4 linked regions of the Schizosaccharomyces pombe genome follow. The gene in region 1 interacts genetically with each later gene. Each region holds a gene or a part of one and is shown on either strand. Other genes may lie near its edges.

Region 1 (4,661 bases):
ACTCTCATGCATACCACCTCCATTCGTTAACAGAATAAAAGGTATATTATTTTTTTGCAAAAATTTCAAACTTACAAGTTAGTTTGAAAATGGTAGTTCATAGTTAAGCTTACGTCTTCGTTCCTTCTTTCAAACCTCTTCCTCCTCTAATTAAAACTCCATCAATACTGCTTTGGTTAGTTTCAAAAATCGATCATTAATTACTGTATTACTCAAATGCGAAACAAACATCTGCAATAGGGCTTTTAGTAGACGATTCGGTCGTAAACTTTCGAAACGTTGAACGCCCTAACTGCCTGGCAGCCAAATGCCAAGATCTATAATTGATAGTATGTAGCATTTATTAAAGCCGATAAATGAAGAATCAACAATGTAAGAAGTAAAAAATTAAGAGGTTTGTGCGGTTACGTGGTATGACAACTTAAGGATGACGGTGGGCGGGTATGAAAACCAGACCCGCATTTCCTAAGTTAAAATCCAGCTTTGTTTAGTGTATTGGACTTTTTATAATAAAGAATATTTGTATTCTCAATTAGTTGGAGAAAGTCTACAACACCTGGTTTATTTACATCTTATTTATTTCACGAGTTGTAGAAGCAAATTAACTAATAGATTTCGGCGTCCTACGAAGCTTAAATAAAATAAAGTAAAAATTAACAAAATTAAAAAAAGTTCTATGAAATCTACCGGCGTTTATTTGTGGGAGTTGCTCCCCAAGCGCTCTGAGTAGCAGCACGTTTTCTTCGTTCGATTTCCTCTTGAGAGATTTCTACCCCGTTTTGGACGTCAAACAAATCAGTCCGTTGACTAACCAATCTTTTCATATTTGCAGCAACGTTCACGTTCTCTAAATTTAAAGTTGATTTCCTAGATTCTTCAACTTTGCGCTGTTCCTGCCAGCGAGGGTCAAGTAATTTTAGACGCATATGCTCTTCTAGTTCTGTAGCGGGAACCAATTCACCTGAGAAAGGCGATATCTCCATCGGAACTTTGGGCTGGAAAGCTAAACAGGGTCAGTAAAGTTACAATAAGGAATATAAACTTACCCTTTGGTACTGGCTTTTGTACCTTCGGCTGAGTAGTGGTAGACAAAACGGGAGAAGCTTGTGCGGCAGGAGAAACTGAAGTAGTTGAAGAAATACCTCCTTTTTCTGGAGAAGCAAGTGATGGAGGAAGAGAAACACCAAATTCTTGTTTTTTAGGCGCACTTATGGGCTCCCAAGGCTCCGCTGTAGGAGGAGCTTCCTCAATAGTGTAATTTTGGTCAGGCATGGTAAACATGGCAGACTTTTGTTCTAAAGTAGCAGTTTGTAAATCCGCTAAATTCGTAGGTTTAGCTAATTTTGCATGTTCATCGGACTTTGTGAATTGAATCACTTCAACAACGACAAAATCGTTCCAATCAATTTGTGCATATTCCACTAAGACAAGTTAGTTCCAATTCAAATGGTAAATGAAGAATATTGGACTTCCTGAACCAGTTTTTGCATCTCAATATACACTTACACTTCTCTTTTTCGGCTTCTTCCTTTTGTTTTTTCTTTTGGCTCTCCATATGCGATTGCCACCTTACACGCGGCTGAATTTTAGAAAGTAAGCTATAAGGGTCTCTCACATTTTCACGAAGCTCCTGTTCTGGCGAAGAAATGGGCTCTCTAATTAGAGAAGTATATTGTTGAACTATACGCATAAAGTAAGGGTACAATGCATTATTTGGCTTTAAAAAATCAAATTGAGTGTTATTCCACTCTTTTTGAGAAAGACTCACTAAGAAAGAAGAACCACGAACTGCCGCATATCGCGCAGTTAAACGGAGCACGTCTCTAGATTCACGGTTAATTAGCAACTTCAAAGAAGAAGGAAATAATAGTTGAGATGATACTTACAAATCTAGTGATGAAATAGAAGGAAGTGGTTCTGAAAACAAGTACGGTGAGGGAGCAGGAATAGTTGCCTCTATAGGTTTTTGAATGGGACGAGCCAAAGTGGATGTTTTTTGGGTTGACAAGCCTGTGGCATGACTCTTCAATTTTCCCTCCCTCGCTTCAGTTAATTTGTGCTGATAATATGGGTGGTAGGGGTCATTAGCATGCAAGAAAGCAAACTTAGTATTTGCCTGTTCATTCTGGCGAATTTTTTCTTCAAAAGCTGGGCCATTTCTGGCAACGTAACTAGCAGATTTATCAATTATTTCTAAGCTACGTTAGCAGGCGCGTCTATTGTACTAATTACTATGACTCACCTCGAATTGCTGGAGGAGGTAAAATTACCCCTGCAGGGACCGATGAACTTTGATCAGTGATGCTTTTTTGGTGTTCTGTTTCATTATTTGTCGTATTTCTGTCTTGGAATTCCATTAAAGAACTCATATGTGAGACTTATGCAGAAAAAGGTAGTGGTGGAAGGACACTTGTCGCACAAGGCAGATGAAGCGATGGACAAGCGAAAAGAAAGGACTATTGAAATTCAATAGAAGTTTATAAAAGTTTAGGGCGACCTTGCTGCTCTAAACAGTTGTTGCCTAGGGCATCCGTAATCCACTGCGGATGGACAAATAACATCAAAACGGTTGATAGCAACAATTATCCTTACAATTTAGAATTTAAAAGATAGTTATAGTGCAAGTTTTTTTGCAAGCTACATTATACATTTATTTATCGGTAGAAGGTTTATCTGCATTCGTTGCTTTGCCTTTATTTCTACACACTAAGACGCGTAACATGTTTACCCTCTACCAGTACTTTATCGGAGAATAAGGAAAGGATATCCAGGTAGTTTCTCAAGATGCAGTTAAACCGGAAGCAGTTAAAGAATCTTCATAACTATAAATATAGTGCGATTGATAACTCACTTCTTTCAAAATATATTTTGAAGCCGTACTGGTGGAATCAACTTTTGAAGGTGATTCCCATGTCTATGGCGTATGATCTACACCCGTTTGCTTGCTTATTCTTACTAACTCTTTACTTAGACCTAATTTGATTACTTTGATCGGGCTTGGATTCGTTGTTATCAATATCCTTACTATGCTTGTGTACAAGTATCATTATGAGATGGATGCTTTCCCATCATGGGTGTATGCTTCTTGGGCGATTGGCCTTTTTCTTTACCAAAGTTTTGACGCTATTGATGGCTCGCAAGCGCGTCGTACTGGCACATCATCTCCATTAGGTCAATTATTTGACCATGGAGTAGACGCCATCAATACGAGCTTTGAAGTTTTACTGACGATTGAACTGCTGCAACTAGATATGTTTAGCTCAATCCTTACTCAATTTGCCAGCTTATTATACTTTTACATCTCTACTTGGGAAGAATACCATACGGGTACTTTGTACCTTTCATACTTCTCGGGTCCTGTCGAAGGAATTGTAATGGTTATTGGACTATTTGCCCTTACAGCTATTAAGGGTGATTCTTTCTGGCTCAAGCTACATCCCACTCCCGAGTCATGGGGATTTGTACGTTCCTTTCTGCCATACTACACATATGGATCATGCTTGTACAACTTTATGGCATTTGCCCTGCTATTGAATGTCTTACAAAGTTTACGAAATGCTCTTCAAGCCGTCCAAAAGAACAACGGAAGTGTGATTAAAGCATTGAGTGGTATCCTTCCCTATTTCCTCCAATGGATGGCTGTCTTTTCACTCTATGCCAAGTATCCTGCTTTCTTTGAACATCATTTCCTCACTATTTTTTGCTTGAACGCTTTTATCTTTGCTTATTCGGTTGGAGTGGTAATTGTTTCTCACATTACCGAATCTCCCTTCCCATACTGGAATGTGCTTATTCTTCCATTCTTGGTGGATGCCGTGGACGCCTATACTTTTGGCGTATTAAAAAACGTTCAGACGGAATACTTTTTTTGCTACGTTGGAATTTGCATTGGTGTTTACGGCAACTTTGTTGCACATGTCATTGCCATGATTACGGAAGAGTACGGCATTAAATGTTTGACTATTCCATCCAAACCAGAGTCCAAGAAGAATTGAACTAGATGATGATGGTTTGGACAGAATAGAGATGAGAACAAAAGGGTCCAGAGAGATTTTGTCATTGATAACCTTTCGGTCGATCTTTTGTTCTGCAATGTATCTAACGGATCAGAAGTATCAAAATGATCCATTTCCTAGTAGACAGGTTTTTTTCGGTTGTGTGTTTTCTGCCAACAATATGTTACTTTTGTTTGTTTTCCTGCTGTAGTAATAAAAGTTGGTTTTTTTACCAGAACATAATAATGAACAAGTATTTCACTTGCGACTTCGTTCACTAAATGATCCAGCCTTTCGTATCCTTTTAACTAACTGTATATACTGATGAACAAATGGTCCATTTGTCTTCTACACTGCAAACTTGCTTTTCACCGTGGAATACCGGGGCTGCACTAACTAAGATGACTGGTTCCACATGTGCAGACCGGAGCACTTTTCGACAACCTTCTTTTAATTAAGGTTCTTATGGCAGTTCGTAACGATTTAACAATTTCAATAAATAGCCATCGTCCTGTCCCATTGCTTCTTTGGGCATTGGTAGAGTTTGCCCTTTTAAGGCAATCTTTTGCTACATAAAGGTGACTCAAGTTTACGCTGCGATTTTACTACTTTTCTAGCATATGATCTACAAAAGGTCAGCGAAATTTTTCTTTGACTAGGAAAATG
Region 2 (4,142 bases), on another chromosome or scaffold:
ATAAGAGACTTCTTCGTCGCGAATACCAAGTGTTTGAGCCAAGCGTTCTTTTGCTTGCCGTTGCAAAGCATTGGGTGTCAAATAATTATGAGGAAATTTAAGTGCCTTTGACCAAGCAGGTCTTATTGCTTCAACAAAATTTTCCTCATTAACAAAGGCTTCTAATAACCAAAGGTCATTGACGGAACCTTCCAATAAACTGGTGAAGGCCATAACATTGGCCAGCTGTTTCGCATCAAAATTATCCAAATTATAGCCCTTCTGTTTCAAGTATATTAAAATGTTTTTCAAAGATCCAATCCAAACATGACCATCCCACAAAGCTGGTAGCTTATGGGTAGGGCTCATACCTGAATTTGCAGTGCGAAGAATTTCAATTTCGTCCTTTGGGACGGCAAGTGCGCAATAAATTAATGCCGCTAAGCATCCAGGATCCATCGTTGGTTGCCCAAGTCCTGGGCTATAAATGAAAAGTTGCAACATTTTGATCAAAAAATGACCCGAACGAATGAATTGAAAAAGTTACCGTCTACAGTAGGGTTGAGATTAGAGAAACACAGAAGAAAGAAAAAAAAGGTAATAACTAACCAACTAGTCCAACTTACCAAATTCGCTGAAGCTAGTTACAATTATCATTCTGATGCTATGCAGTCAAGTAAGCTATACGAACAAGTAACATTGTTACCTATTTATTAGTTGTTAAAAAGTGAATTAAACATCGATAATTAGCACAATAAATCGATTGAGCATTTGAACTTTGAGATTTTACTTAGTATATTTGTATGGCGCTTCTGCTGTATCTGCAGCGTAAAACCCATCTAAAATGAGACTTTGTTTATGCATCCATAGTATAGAAGAATATACAATCTCACAAAAGCTTCACTTGTGATAATCCTTTTTGCACAATGAGTACATATTTAATTATTAAGAAGTATAAGTGTGCTAAAGACTATTCTAAATCCAAACATAACGAACTATTCCTCTATCGAAAATTCAAGTCAATTTATTTCTTATATAAGACAGTATAAATCTTGTATATATATAATTGTACGTATGAATACACATGTAAGCTTTCCCAGTTACCGTCAATGCAAGTCACTCTTTGCTTTCTAGTTAGACATAAACTTTGCGTCAAAGAGTTGATGACGGACTAGCAACAATAATTAGCAAGATATAAAATAGTTCACTCTATTCCAAAAGTTGTAAAATTAGACCCAAGTGGTTTGTTTACTTGCGCTTTGAAACAGATTCGGTGGAAACAGTTTCTACACTCTGAGTAGTAGCAGACTCGGATTCCAATTTAGCCTTTTCAGCTAATTCTTGCTCCCTCATATCTTCAGCGTATTCGCGCTGCTGGATACTTTGAACATGATATCCGAAAACGTATCCAAGTTGAATAAGAATGACACCAGCAAGAAGAAATTCAACAAGAACATGAGAAGCAGCAAGAACGGACAAGTGCATATTTCGTGGGAATTGAACATAATTCTGTAGCTTAACAACCAACATAGAAGGAGCAACATTAACAATAAACAAAATTAGTGCAGTAAGATAAAGAAGCGTGCTAGAGTAAAAGAACAATTTGTCATCACCTTTAGCGCCAGTGGCTTGAATAAGATGGAAAATCATATTAAGTCCCATGATGGTATATACAGTATATTTTACAATGAAATGGGATCCAGCCACCAAAGTATAGTAAGTTTCAGCAGCATCGAAAGCAGACTCAGGGCCAGGACTCCATAAGGTATTCACATCGGCAACGCTCTAAATGACATTAGTAATTTATGCTAAGAAAATAAAGACTATGAACAAAGTAATCAATTCGAAGTGAAGCTCCAAAAACATAAGAACAACAGAAAAATGAGCAGCGCGGCAAACATTGAGCGGTAAGATGAATGCTCGTATCCGATTATGAAAACTTAAACAGACAAAAAGCTCCTTTTTAGAAACGTTCCTGATAAAATAATTTTCCAGATTTATTTTAACAATGCATGTTTTGTAAAACAAATTCAGAATTCACTCAAAGTACCGACTTATAATTTCTCATATTCTGCTCCCTTTGTCTCCAAAAGCTAAACGAAATTGATATCAAATGAAAGTTGATTTTCAAATGAATAATCTTAGAATAAAATAGAAATTTGATTGGAACATACGCTGTGGAAAAGTAAAGCAAAAATAAAACTAGTTGACATAAGGACTCCATAACGGGCAGCGACCTTCAAGCCCTTTTCATCAGCAAAACGAAATATGGATCTTTTAGCCATCTTGAATAATGATAATAAACTTTTTTTTTGTTAATGAAAATATACGTTAGTGGTAGGTTAATTAAGACTACCTTTTTATACCAAAGTGATACCACTCCGCTTTCGACGGTCTAAAGGATTGTATGAGTATAAGGAAATCGAACGCATTTTCCACTAATATGCATTGTATGCAGAAAAACATCATGAACGGCTATCTAAATCTCACGAATAAGAAAAATCAACCCAAGATAAATCAGTTGGCAAAATTATTTAATATAAAATATAACCAGATATATTTGAGCGACTATTGTATGTCACTATTTATTGTAACTGAATACACAACATCATAGCGTTTTCAAGTTAAGCGAGACTGTAAAGCTTATATCAAAATAAGGGAATTTATTAATTGGCTGTAAATAAAACAAATGAATGCCAATGCCTCGATATGTAAAAATACTAATAAAACTACAGAAACAATATAGAAGAACATACAAAGATCCTTTGTATACTTGAAAAAAAGAAATAATTTCATAAATGAGGTGTTTTTGTCTTCCTAACTATATGTTTCGTCAGTTTTCACAATGGTCGCAAAATCTGTTTCTAAAATGCTCAATTGTTTATTATCCTAGTTCCCTATTAGTAAATTTTTTTCATTTCTAATTCTAAAAACTTTTACCTGAGTTTAAACAAACAATTGAACAATATCCGATCGATTTGTTTATCTAATAGCGCATCGCGTAAAATATTTTAGCGTCTTTAAGAAAACATAAATATCTCTTATCTACAAATAACAGAAAATTACATCAACCTTATAAAATATAAAGCATTCCAGAAAACACACTATTCTCCTTTCACACCTAAACTGGTCTTGCATTCATTTGGTCTCGAAGTTATATCTCATATACATATTTGCAGTCCACTCTGCAAAAAACAAATAATACAAAAAGGGTATACGAGTTGTTAAAGAAAAAGGTCCCTGCTTGCTTTACATACTTGGCCGTGTTAATTAATTCAATATGGTGTCGATTTACGTTCCCTTGATATATATTACCATTTTAATGGGCTCTATGTATGGAGTTTCTCGTTTTGTGCGAAAATCCAAAAATCAGGAATCAAAACCAGTATCAGAAGAATGGTTTGGAGAAAATTATTCTAGAAATATATTTTTCAGTCTTTTGCAGCAGAATCCACCTGCCGAGGATACACTTTTGAAAGCTGCTCTCGTTTTACGGGCTACAGAAGGTCTTCGTCGATTGATGAAGCTTAAAGTATCGAGAATGGCATTGAATAATTTGCTCAACCGCGGCGGCGTTGGTGACGAGCTAATTCGTAAGTTTGGTCGTTTGGAAAAGGAAACTGAATTGGAGTTGATGGATATTGCCAAAACTGCCAATTCATTGCAGCCTGGATGGAATCAGTTTATATTCCAAACTTGCAATGAAATAATTGAAAACGAAAAAATTCACAGCATAATTGATAATATTCCCAAGGACATTGATTCTATTTCGCAACGTTGGCAAACCGAAAAAATTCTGTATGAAGCCGCTGATGAGGAATTGCGTATTCAAGCCCAAAAAGAACTTGGAGTGCTATAAATTGTTTTAAAAAAAGATGTTCGTATGTGCCTTTATTCTTTTTTTCCTGTTTCTTTCTTGCATCTGATGTTTTACGTTTTCTTATCTTTTTCTTTCTTTGAAACTAAAATTCCTATTTTATACAATAATCCTTAGAACTCATTCATAAATCAAATTCAGTAATAGACTCCATAAAGGGGGCTTGCTTTATCACTGTCCTTACCTTTATATTGAAAGTCATACTTTTTTCCTATTCATATTATCTATCATCCTATTCCTACTCCCTTTTTTTTCCAAACCAATAACAAAAATATGGAAAGAAAGA
Region 3 (4,032 bases), on another chromosome or scaffold:
AGAGATCGATGCTGAGGAAAACGGATCTGCGTTGATGAAAAAATACATGGGAGAAGATTTGTGTGAACTTCAAGATGCCATCAGAATTTGCTTCTCCTGTTTCACTCTTCCCCAGCAAACAATGGAATCACCTTTTGCAACAAGTATGTCCAAAGCACCTGCTAAAACAGAAAGTCGAGGTTCAAATAGTTTTGAAGGAACATCAAGACTAGCAAACCTAGGTGCCAAACTCTTATGCCTTATATGGGCTATGCTTCCGAAGGGAAGATTTTTTGTTGTACATCTGACAGACGCTTTTCATTTTCTTAGCAAACTCGACGAACGTTTTTCAAAACTGAATGCGAAACAACAAGATCTTTTCTTTGGAAACTTAGGCGCCTCCAATCTCCGGTATTGCCTGAGCCAATATATACTTATGAAAGGAATAGGTATTGGAATTAACATACGCCATACACGTTGTGAGTTTACTAAACAGCTAACTCAACTTTTACCCACTTCCCTTCCGAAAAACAAAATCAGACAGAAGCTACATCTACGAGCATGGGTCTCATTTTTGGGTTCGGCCCTTCGTGAAAGTGATCGCAACTTTGATAAAGAGCTATTTTACACAACGTTGAAGCAGTTATACACAATGTATCAACAAACAGAATTAGTTGGTATTGATAGACCAATGGCAATACTCAAAGACATGCTTGTATTATTAGATATTTCAAAAAAATTGTCCTTGGATAAAATCGTTTAACTTAATAATTTAACTACAAATTAACAGAAGTCATTTGGCATTAATTGTGTATCCTAATATATATAGACTATATGTATCGTTTCAATGAATGAGGCTTTGTGTGGAAAATAATTATTATAATCATTAGTGATAACTAAGAAAATGAAATTTATATGAATAATATATAATAAACAAACGGGTAGATAGAAAGTAAATTAATTATTACCGAAAACGAAATGAAACATTTTGTGCAATAATTGTATGCTTGACCCCTTTATAAGATTTTTTATCTGGATGATTAAGCATCTTCAATGACTCTACTTTAAAATTATGAAGGGTTGATCCTTGAAGTTTATATTGTAAATCAAGGTGCTCAAGCTTAGAGTAGCTACTTGACTCTTCGGTTGAATTGGCATCTTTCTTTAAGGGGGCCAGGAATCCTGTCAACACTAAGGCCGGGGATGTCCAAGCTAATTTTTTTACCGACCACTCCAGAATACCTTCTTCCATATGAGTATACTTGGAAGCACGAAAAATATAATTTCCCTCGGTAACCGTAACGCTCTTTAGAGCTTGAGGAATAGTTATTAGGATTTTTAAATTTTCAACGGATTTTTTCCCGGTGTTTCGAATACGTACTTCGAACCTTCCATCCAACTTATTTTTTGCTTCAACAACAACAGGCAAAGATTTCTGGGTAGCAAAGTCTGTTTGAAAAGAAGCTAATGTAAATTTTCCGTCCGGTGGAATGAATTCAATCTGATCCGGATGTTGTTTCCATCTTTTTAAATTGACTGACTGGTGGAACCGAACATTCCCTAGTTTTGTGCCGGGTCTCAAACTCAGCAAAAGTAAAGGCATACCAGATATTTGACATTTGCATTCCATATCACTTTTAACTGTGCCAAAAGCAAGTTTTCCGTTAGGCTGGTAAACGGCTGATACGCGTTCAAGTACATGAATAAAAAATTCATTGGTTGCATATTTTGCTTTAGCTGTTCTCCAAGGAACGGTATCTCTTGCAAGAGTCGGTGTATTTCTAAATCATGCGGTTAGCACTGCAAAAACAGAAAACTAAATAACATACGTTTGTAGACCAGTAACTGCCATAAACTTATTCATAAAGCTAGGGAGTGGTACAATGTCCTGCAATGCATTTGGTTCCATACAAGTTGCATATCCATAATCAATCATTTCAGCTAATAGCTGGACAATAACGCAAACATTTTTCTCGACCTTTGAAGCATTAAACCCACCAAAAAATGTTTTAACTACATCCACAATGCGTCTCATAATATCATGAATGTAGAGAGGCTCAGTGTCGCAAGTTGTAGGAATACACAAACGCACATCTTCCTCTAACTCTTGAAATATCAAAAAATTTTTGTTATGTAATATAAATGGAGGCTCCTCATTTCGAAGTTTGTAGCGAAAAAGTTCGTTTTTTATATGTTCTAACGTTATGGGAGATGTCCTTCCTCGAGACTCCAACTGGAGTAGTAACGCCCTAGTCAACTTGATTAATAAAGTAAATAAACAGCTAACGCATACCCATTAGTGTCTACAAGATATATTGCTTCTATTGTGCTCATTCAAAAGTTTTATGAAAGGAGCGGTTGGTTGGTGATGAATACGTATGAAGGTAAATGGATTAAGAAGGTCTTCTAGTGTACAGGAAAGGGTAACCATAGATGTCCTTTCTCAATCTTTTTAAAGCCTAATTTATAAACAATTTAAGTAATTAATAGTAATTAAGCCATGCTACTGTTGACATGCTAAACCGTTTAAATGGGTTGCTAAAAGGTACGCAGGAACCTCAGGTTGAAAAATTAATTAGATTAAACAGAAAACCACCTTTCATAAATGTCGTAGATTAAGATACTTGTAAAAAATATATATATATGACAAATAAATATATCACAATGAACTTTACGCTTTGTGTAAATATAGCAAAAAGCATTATATATGAATCAGCAAGGATGTATGTGTACTTGATGCCCATTTTTGGTAAATTTACACAAAGGTAAAGTAAGAGATAGAGAGCTACTATTGTCTACATCAGTATTAGAACGTTTTAGAAGTAAAACTGTGCATTTTTCCTCATTTTTTTCAGCTTCAACTAGATATATGTCAGAGAGAAATCGATCGAGAACTTTAATGGAAGAAAGTTGCACAAGCTCAGTTTCAGATGAACGATGAACACGATTGATATATCTCTTCTCGAGATCTTTTGTGCACTGGAAAAGTGATTTTTGTTTACTAGATGCAGGGGAAGACACGCTAGAACTCAAGAATGACGGTTTAGATGGTGGAGTACCCATGTGATGAATAGAATATTTAGCCAGATGTGTTGAAATAGGCGACTTCATCTTGGCGTTTTTTATTCTCTGAGATTCTGGAGACAGGTAGCGCAATGCTCTAGGGCTTGACTGACCGATATTGGTAATTTTAGTCGGAGATGTTGGAAGCTCTACGTTGTATGTAGAGCTAGCAAATGGTTTTTGAGAGGAGCTTTGAGGATGTCGAGCAGGCTTTCTTTCATCCTCTGATGAAGAAGAAAATTCATCAATGTCTTCATCCAAACCCCGACGCTTTCTGACTAGATTGGAAGACTTGCCATTGAACGATTGATCCTCAACATCTTCAATTGCTTCCATAGACAGCGCCATTCTATGAAGTTTCTCCTTTTTCGCGGAATTAAATCCAAAAGCTTTGCTACCTGCTGAAGCTGAGGTAGCTTCATTTTGAGATGCGCTTTTTCGAGGATTGTATTTGACTTTCTTGGAACTCATGTATAATAGCGTTGCGGCATGATAAATTGACAATAAATTGAATTTCAATAATCCTAATATATGGATACAAAGGAAATTTTGAGCTTAAACGTAAAAAGCTGGCACAACATTGATATAAGTGAATGACTTGTGGTGAGAGCAGACAACGATCATGCGAGTGTAATCAGCACTTTACTGTATGATCGGCTGTATTAAATACGAAGTAGTGGAAAAAAAATAATAATTTTTGGTTAACAAATACTTTAGTCATTTGGTTAAACAAAATAGATTTTTTCGTCCACAGACCCATTTTAGTTATGGAAAATATATATATATATTTTTTTTTTCGAAAAGAGCAGCAATAAGGAATACGAGGAGGACCTACAAAACAACACGGAGTAATTACGAGATTAAATTACGAATAATAAGTACGTTGGGTATTAAACGAAGCAGAGAAAATATAATAAAATAGCATCATATTGAGCAAAGCAACAAGAACTTCAACCACACTGCAATAGTTTGCAACTCAGAAGAGAAATG
Region 4 (3,481 bases), on another chromosome or scaffold:
TGCTTCCTTTGAGGTACCAAAGACCCTTAAAACTTAAAAAATGATTGTTTTCTTCCAAGGAATTTCCCTTACTAATTAATTTTGTTTCCATTTTCCAAGGTCCATACAACTTTGCGTCTTGCTGTTTAATATGACCTCCGATTCTATTCTATTTTATTATATTATTATTATTCTTAAATTATTGTTGTGTTGTTTATCACTACTTCCCGTTATTTCGAGCTCTTCTCTTCTTCTTCTCCTTCTTATACCTGTACATATTATCTTTTCCAGTTTCATACTTTATGTCTCTCCTTTTTTCGGTTTTCGTGCTTCAGTTTCTTTTACTTCTTAATTCTTCTAAACCCAAACTTTTTTCTCAAACATATATACATATATATATATATTACATATTACGTTTTCTTCATCGAATTCAAAGTTTTATTCTTCATTAGTTTGACTTTTATCACAGCGTTACTAGATGCTTTTACGAATTAATATATAGACTGGCAAAATTAAGCGTAGGGTTGACTATCTATGAACGGTTGTAAACAAGCAGGTCAACCTCCCCCAAAATTCTAGGTAGTCTTGATAAAAAGGCATTAGAAATTTTCGTATAAAAACCTTTGCGCCTGGTCGTCGATAAGATTGCTTGCACCCCAATAGGCCATCTCCACCCCCTGGGAGTCAATCCAGAGTAATGATTTTGAAACTAAATCATTCTAAATTATTTGGTTAGTCGCAAATGTTTTGAGATATTTTTATAATTTAACTGCGTACCAATACTTGAATGCATCTGCTACGCTCCCAAGCGTAATTGTCCCGTAAAATAGATATTGTTACATAGCCCAATATCTCTACAGCCTCTAAAACAACATTTTGGTCGGTGTTGAGCTCTAAAGGAAGGGACCGGATATACTGTTTACCTGCAATTTTTTCAAGAACAAAGCCAGGGCCAAGTGGGGCCAAACTATCGACAGCTCGAACAACGTCAGTCTCTCTTAACCATTCATGACCAAAGGCTTCATTTTCTTCATTTAAAAAACGACAAACTTGGCTGACCGATAAGAGGCCTCCATTCTCCATTTGAGTAGCATAACAGACTTCGATTACTCGTACAGCGACCTGATAATAGAATTCGTTCATGCCCACGGCCGCCCAAGCTGACTCATCAGAACCACTAACAAATGGATCTAAACCAATTTTCAAAGCTAACTTAACAAATGTATTTCGAAATTGAGAGTTTTGTTTTATCTCAGTGGCATGTTCTCTCGCAAACGTCTTCAGCGCTTCCTGAAACGTCGAGAGTTGAGATGCAATTTCATCGGACTGCTGTTCAATAAGTTCATTTCCTACTTCTTCATACTGTTTTAGATATTCATCGTCGTTCAAAGCTCCAATTCCAATTCTTTTACGCATCGGCCCAACCGAACATTGCTTGTTTCAAGCGCACAATCTTTATGATCGAGGCTTTTAATTAACAAGTAATTTCGAAAAAATATCAACAACAACGTAATTGACCAGTTTCTACAATTATTCGCGAATAATAGTCCTCTTCCAAGATCACAGGAGTTGTGTAGAAGAGCAATAACAACCTGCTTAGGAGAATAAACCATCCATTAATTATAACAATAGTAAACTAACTAGCTCATGAAAAGAATGTAACTAACAGGAGCGTTACATTTCATTATCTAGTATACCAAGTTATTTCCTGCTATATTAGTAAACTATCTTAAATTAGAATATCGTATAGCAGCGCATATTCAGTTTTTTAACGCACTTAACTGGACTTCCTTATAAAGTTGTTTATCACATTGTTTAGCTGCGGTATTTTCTTGATTATAGACTGGTACCACCACCAATAGTGACTAAGTGTAGGCCAGAGATTATTTGGTGCTAAAACCAACTACTTCTTGGGACTCTGCGAGGCTCGAGTAATTTCAATCGTTTTTTTTTATTTACTCACATTCAGGGTGCTTTGAAGATGCCAAGGAGAGCTGTACTTTTCCGTGGCAATTCATTCATTTCGTTTTCGTCAATTTCCTCAGGAAACGAGAGTAGCGCCCATGGGGATGCTTCACTTGGACAAGCAGATAAACCCTTAACTGTCGACGTTTTAGATGCTTGGACCACTCAATTCACAAAAAAGCAGACCAGGGTCTTTCATGAGGCATATGTAAGCGCTTATATCGATTTGCAACAAAAATACGCTCGACTTGAACGACTTCAGGAGCAGATCCTTAATTTGGAAAGATCGCTGTTAAATTATAAATCTTTAAAAAGTAACTCTACCACAACGGTGGCGACAGTTCCCTCCGAAAAACGATATTTCTTCCGCCGCAAACCAAAAACTTCTTCAACTACTAATTCTCTCTCTTCTTCTTCTTCTAGTGTCTCGCATATGAATCAAGATGCTAACCCCAATAGCACCGTATTGACCTTTACTGCTGTTCCTTACGATTCTTGTTTACCTGCACCAGACCGACACACTCCCTCTAGTGCATCGTCTAGGGCGAGTGAAACGGGTACCACAAGCCCACAAAGTATGAGGAACCAAATTAGCCTTCTTTACTCAAAAGTCGATCAAGTCAAAACTGAAATTGCTTCGGCACAAGCTGTTATGCATGATTTGTTGCGCACTTATCCTGGCAGTGAAAGTTTGCAACAATCTACTCATACTCAATTTTGATGCCCCTACACAAACAAAAACTCTCTCTATTTTTAGTTTTCTGTTTTATCTGCGTTTTCTCTTGAAATGAATATTTTTTGTTAAGTTGTATTTTAGAGAATTCGATTATCGATGGATGTCCATTGATGAATCGATCGAAAGAGTCCCATGAGACTTTTTCTTTAATTGTTTTACCCTTTAATAACTTGGAAGCATTCACCAATATATATTTGTTATCGTCTTTTCCATCGAATCTTCTGTAATTCACCTCTTTACCTTTTTCCAGCAAGCCTTGAACTTTCGTTACTTGGGTCGTTACTTTATACTGATGTCCTCTAAATTAATTTCGATCCACTTACTTCCCCATCTCTTTCAACATTTACACTTTCTGACTATAGTAAGTGTTTAATTGTAAAAGAGGTTACTCCATGATTGTAATGTACGTTCCTCAATAAATGTTGCTGTACGGACATTGCCGTAACAAATTCAGTCAGTCAGATATATTTTTCTAACTAAAATTGAAGTGAGCCGACAATACTTTACGAAGCTGCTGCTTTATACACCCGTTATACTGCAAATGGAGGCGATTCTAACGACGTTGTCGCGTTATTAGTAGGACCGATCGTTCAGACATTATCTATACCTTCTTCAACATCTAGTGCACCGCTTGTCACTTCAGTTCGGGAGATTCTTGAGCTTGCTTGCAATGATGCTGTGCTCGACAAGTCGTTTCTCAATGAAAGATTAGAACACTGTATGATCAATAAGCATCACTTCGCTTATGCGCGCTAAGCATCATTTTGCTAATCCGTAAACCAAATAGGCAAACTTCAAGAT

Evidence for each region.
Region 2: mutations in sap114 (region 1) and shr3 together harm fitness more than expected from each alone (negative genetic interaction), as found in Schizosaccharomyces pombe (one large-scale study listed by BioGRID).
Region 3: mutations in sap114 (region 1) and apm3 together harm fitness more than expected from each alone (negative genetic interaction), as found in Schizosaccharomyces pombe (one large-scale study listed by BioGRID).
Region 4: mutations in sap114 (region 1) and mug166 together harm fitness less than expected from each alone (positive genetic interaction), as found in Schizosaccharomyces pombe (one large-scale study listed by BioGRID).

What each region holds. Positions count from the first base shown.
Region 1 is NC_003424.3:1,171,787-1,176,447, forward strand, and holds sap114 (U2 snRNP-associated protein Sap114), read right to left. Parts: upstream 2,663-4,661; 5' UTR 2,370-2,662; coding exon 2,243-2,369; intron 2,194-2,242; coding exon 1,887-2,193; intron 1,824-1,886; coding exon 1,507-1,823; intron 1,422-1,506; coding exon 1,047-1,421; intron 1,004-1,046; coding exon 684-1,003; 3' UTR 565-683; downstream 1-564. Other genes in the region: cardiolipin synthase/ hydrolase fusion protein Crd1, read right to left, coding at 1-70, 114-170, 213-340; ept1 (CDP-alcohol phosphatidyltransferase class-I family protein), read left to right, coding at 2,785-2,921, 2,972-3,995. UniProt on the Schizosaccharomyces pombe protein: Involved in pre-mRNA splicing. May be involved in endoplasmic reticulum-associated protein degradation (ERAD) and required for growth at low and high temperatures.
Region 2 is NC_003423.3:1,173,602-1,177,743, forward strand, and holds shr3 (chaperone protein Shr3), read right to left. Parts: upstream 2,313-4,142; 5' UTR 2,265-2,312; coding exon 2,154-2,264; intron 1,765-2,153; coding exon 1,228-1,764; 3' UTR 879-1,227; downstream 1-878. Other genes in the region: mtx1 (metaxin 1), read right to left, coding at 1-483; translocation subcomplex subunit Sec66, read left to right, coding at 3,260-3,838. UniProt on the Schizosaccharomyces pombe protein: Involved in amino acid permease processing and required for the efficient translocation of structurally related amino acid permeases from the endoplasmic reticulum to the plasma membrane.
Region 3 is NC_003423.3:1,258,328-1,262,359, forward strand, and holds apm3 (AP-3 adaptor complex subunit Apm3), read right to left. Parts: upstream 2,347-4,032; 5' UTR 2,314-2,346; coding exon 2,273-2,313; intron 2,229-2,272; coding exon 1,809-2,228; exon of another isoform or gene 1,761-1,808; coding exon 944-1,760; 3' UTR 862-943; downstream 1-861. Other genes in the region: Smc5-6 complex non-SMC subunit Nse5, read left to right, coding at 1-742; protein dbl7, read right to left, coding at 2,692-3,513. UniProt on the Schizosaccharomyces pombe protein: Part of the AP-3 complex, an adaptor-related complex which is not clathrin-associated. The complex is associated with the Golgi region as well as more peripheral structures.
Region 4 is NC_003423.3:1,245,524-1,249,004, forward strand, and holds mug166 (protein mug166), read left to right. Parts: upstream 1-1,874; 5' UTR 1,875-1,960; coding exon 1,961-2,665; downstream 2,666-3,481. Other genes in the region: SPOM_SPBC651.04 (uncharacterized protein), read left to right, coding at 1-37; ESCRT II complex subunit Dot2, read right to left, coding at 579-698, 757-1,395; SPOM_SPBC651.07 (uncharacterized protein), read left to right, coding at 3,073-3,083, 3,169-3,398, 3,468-3,481.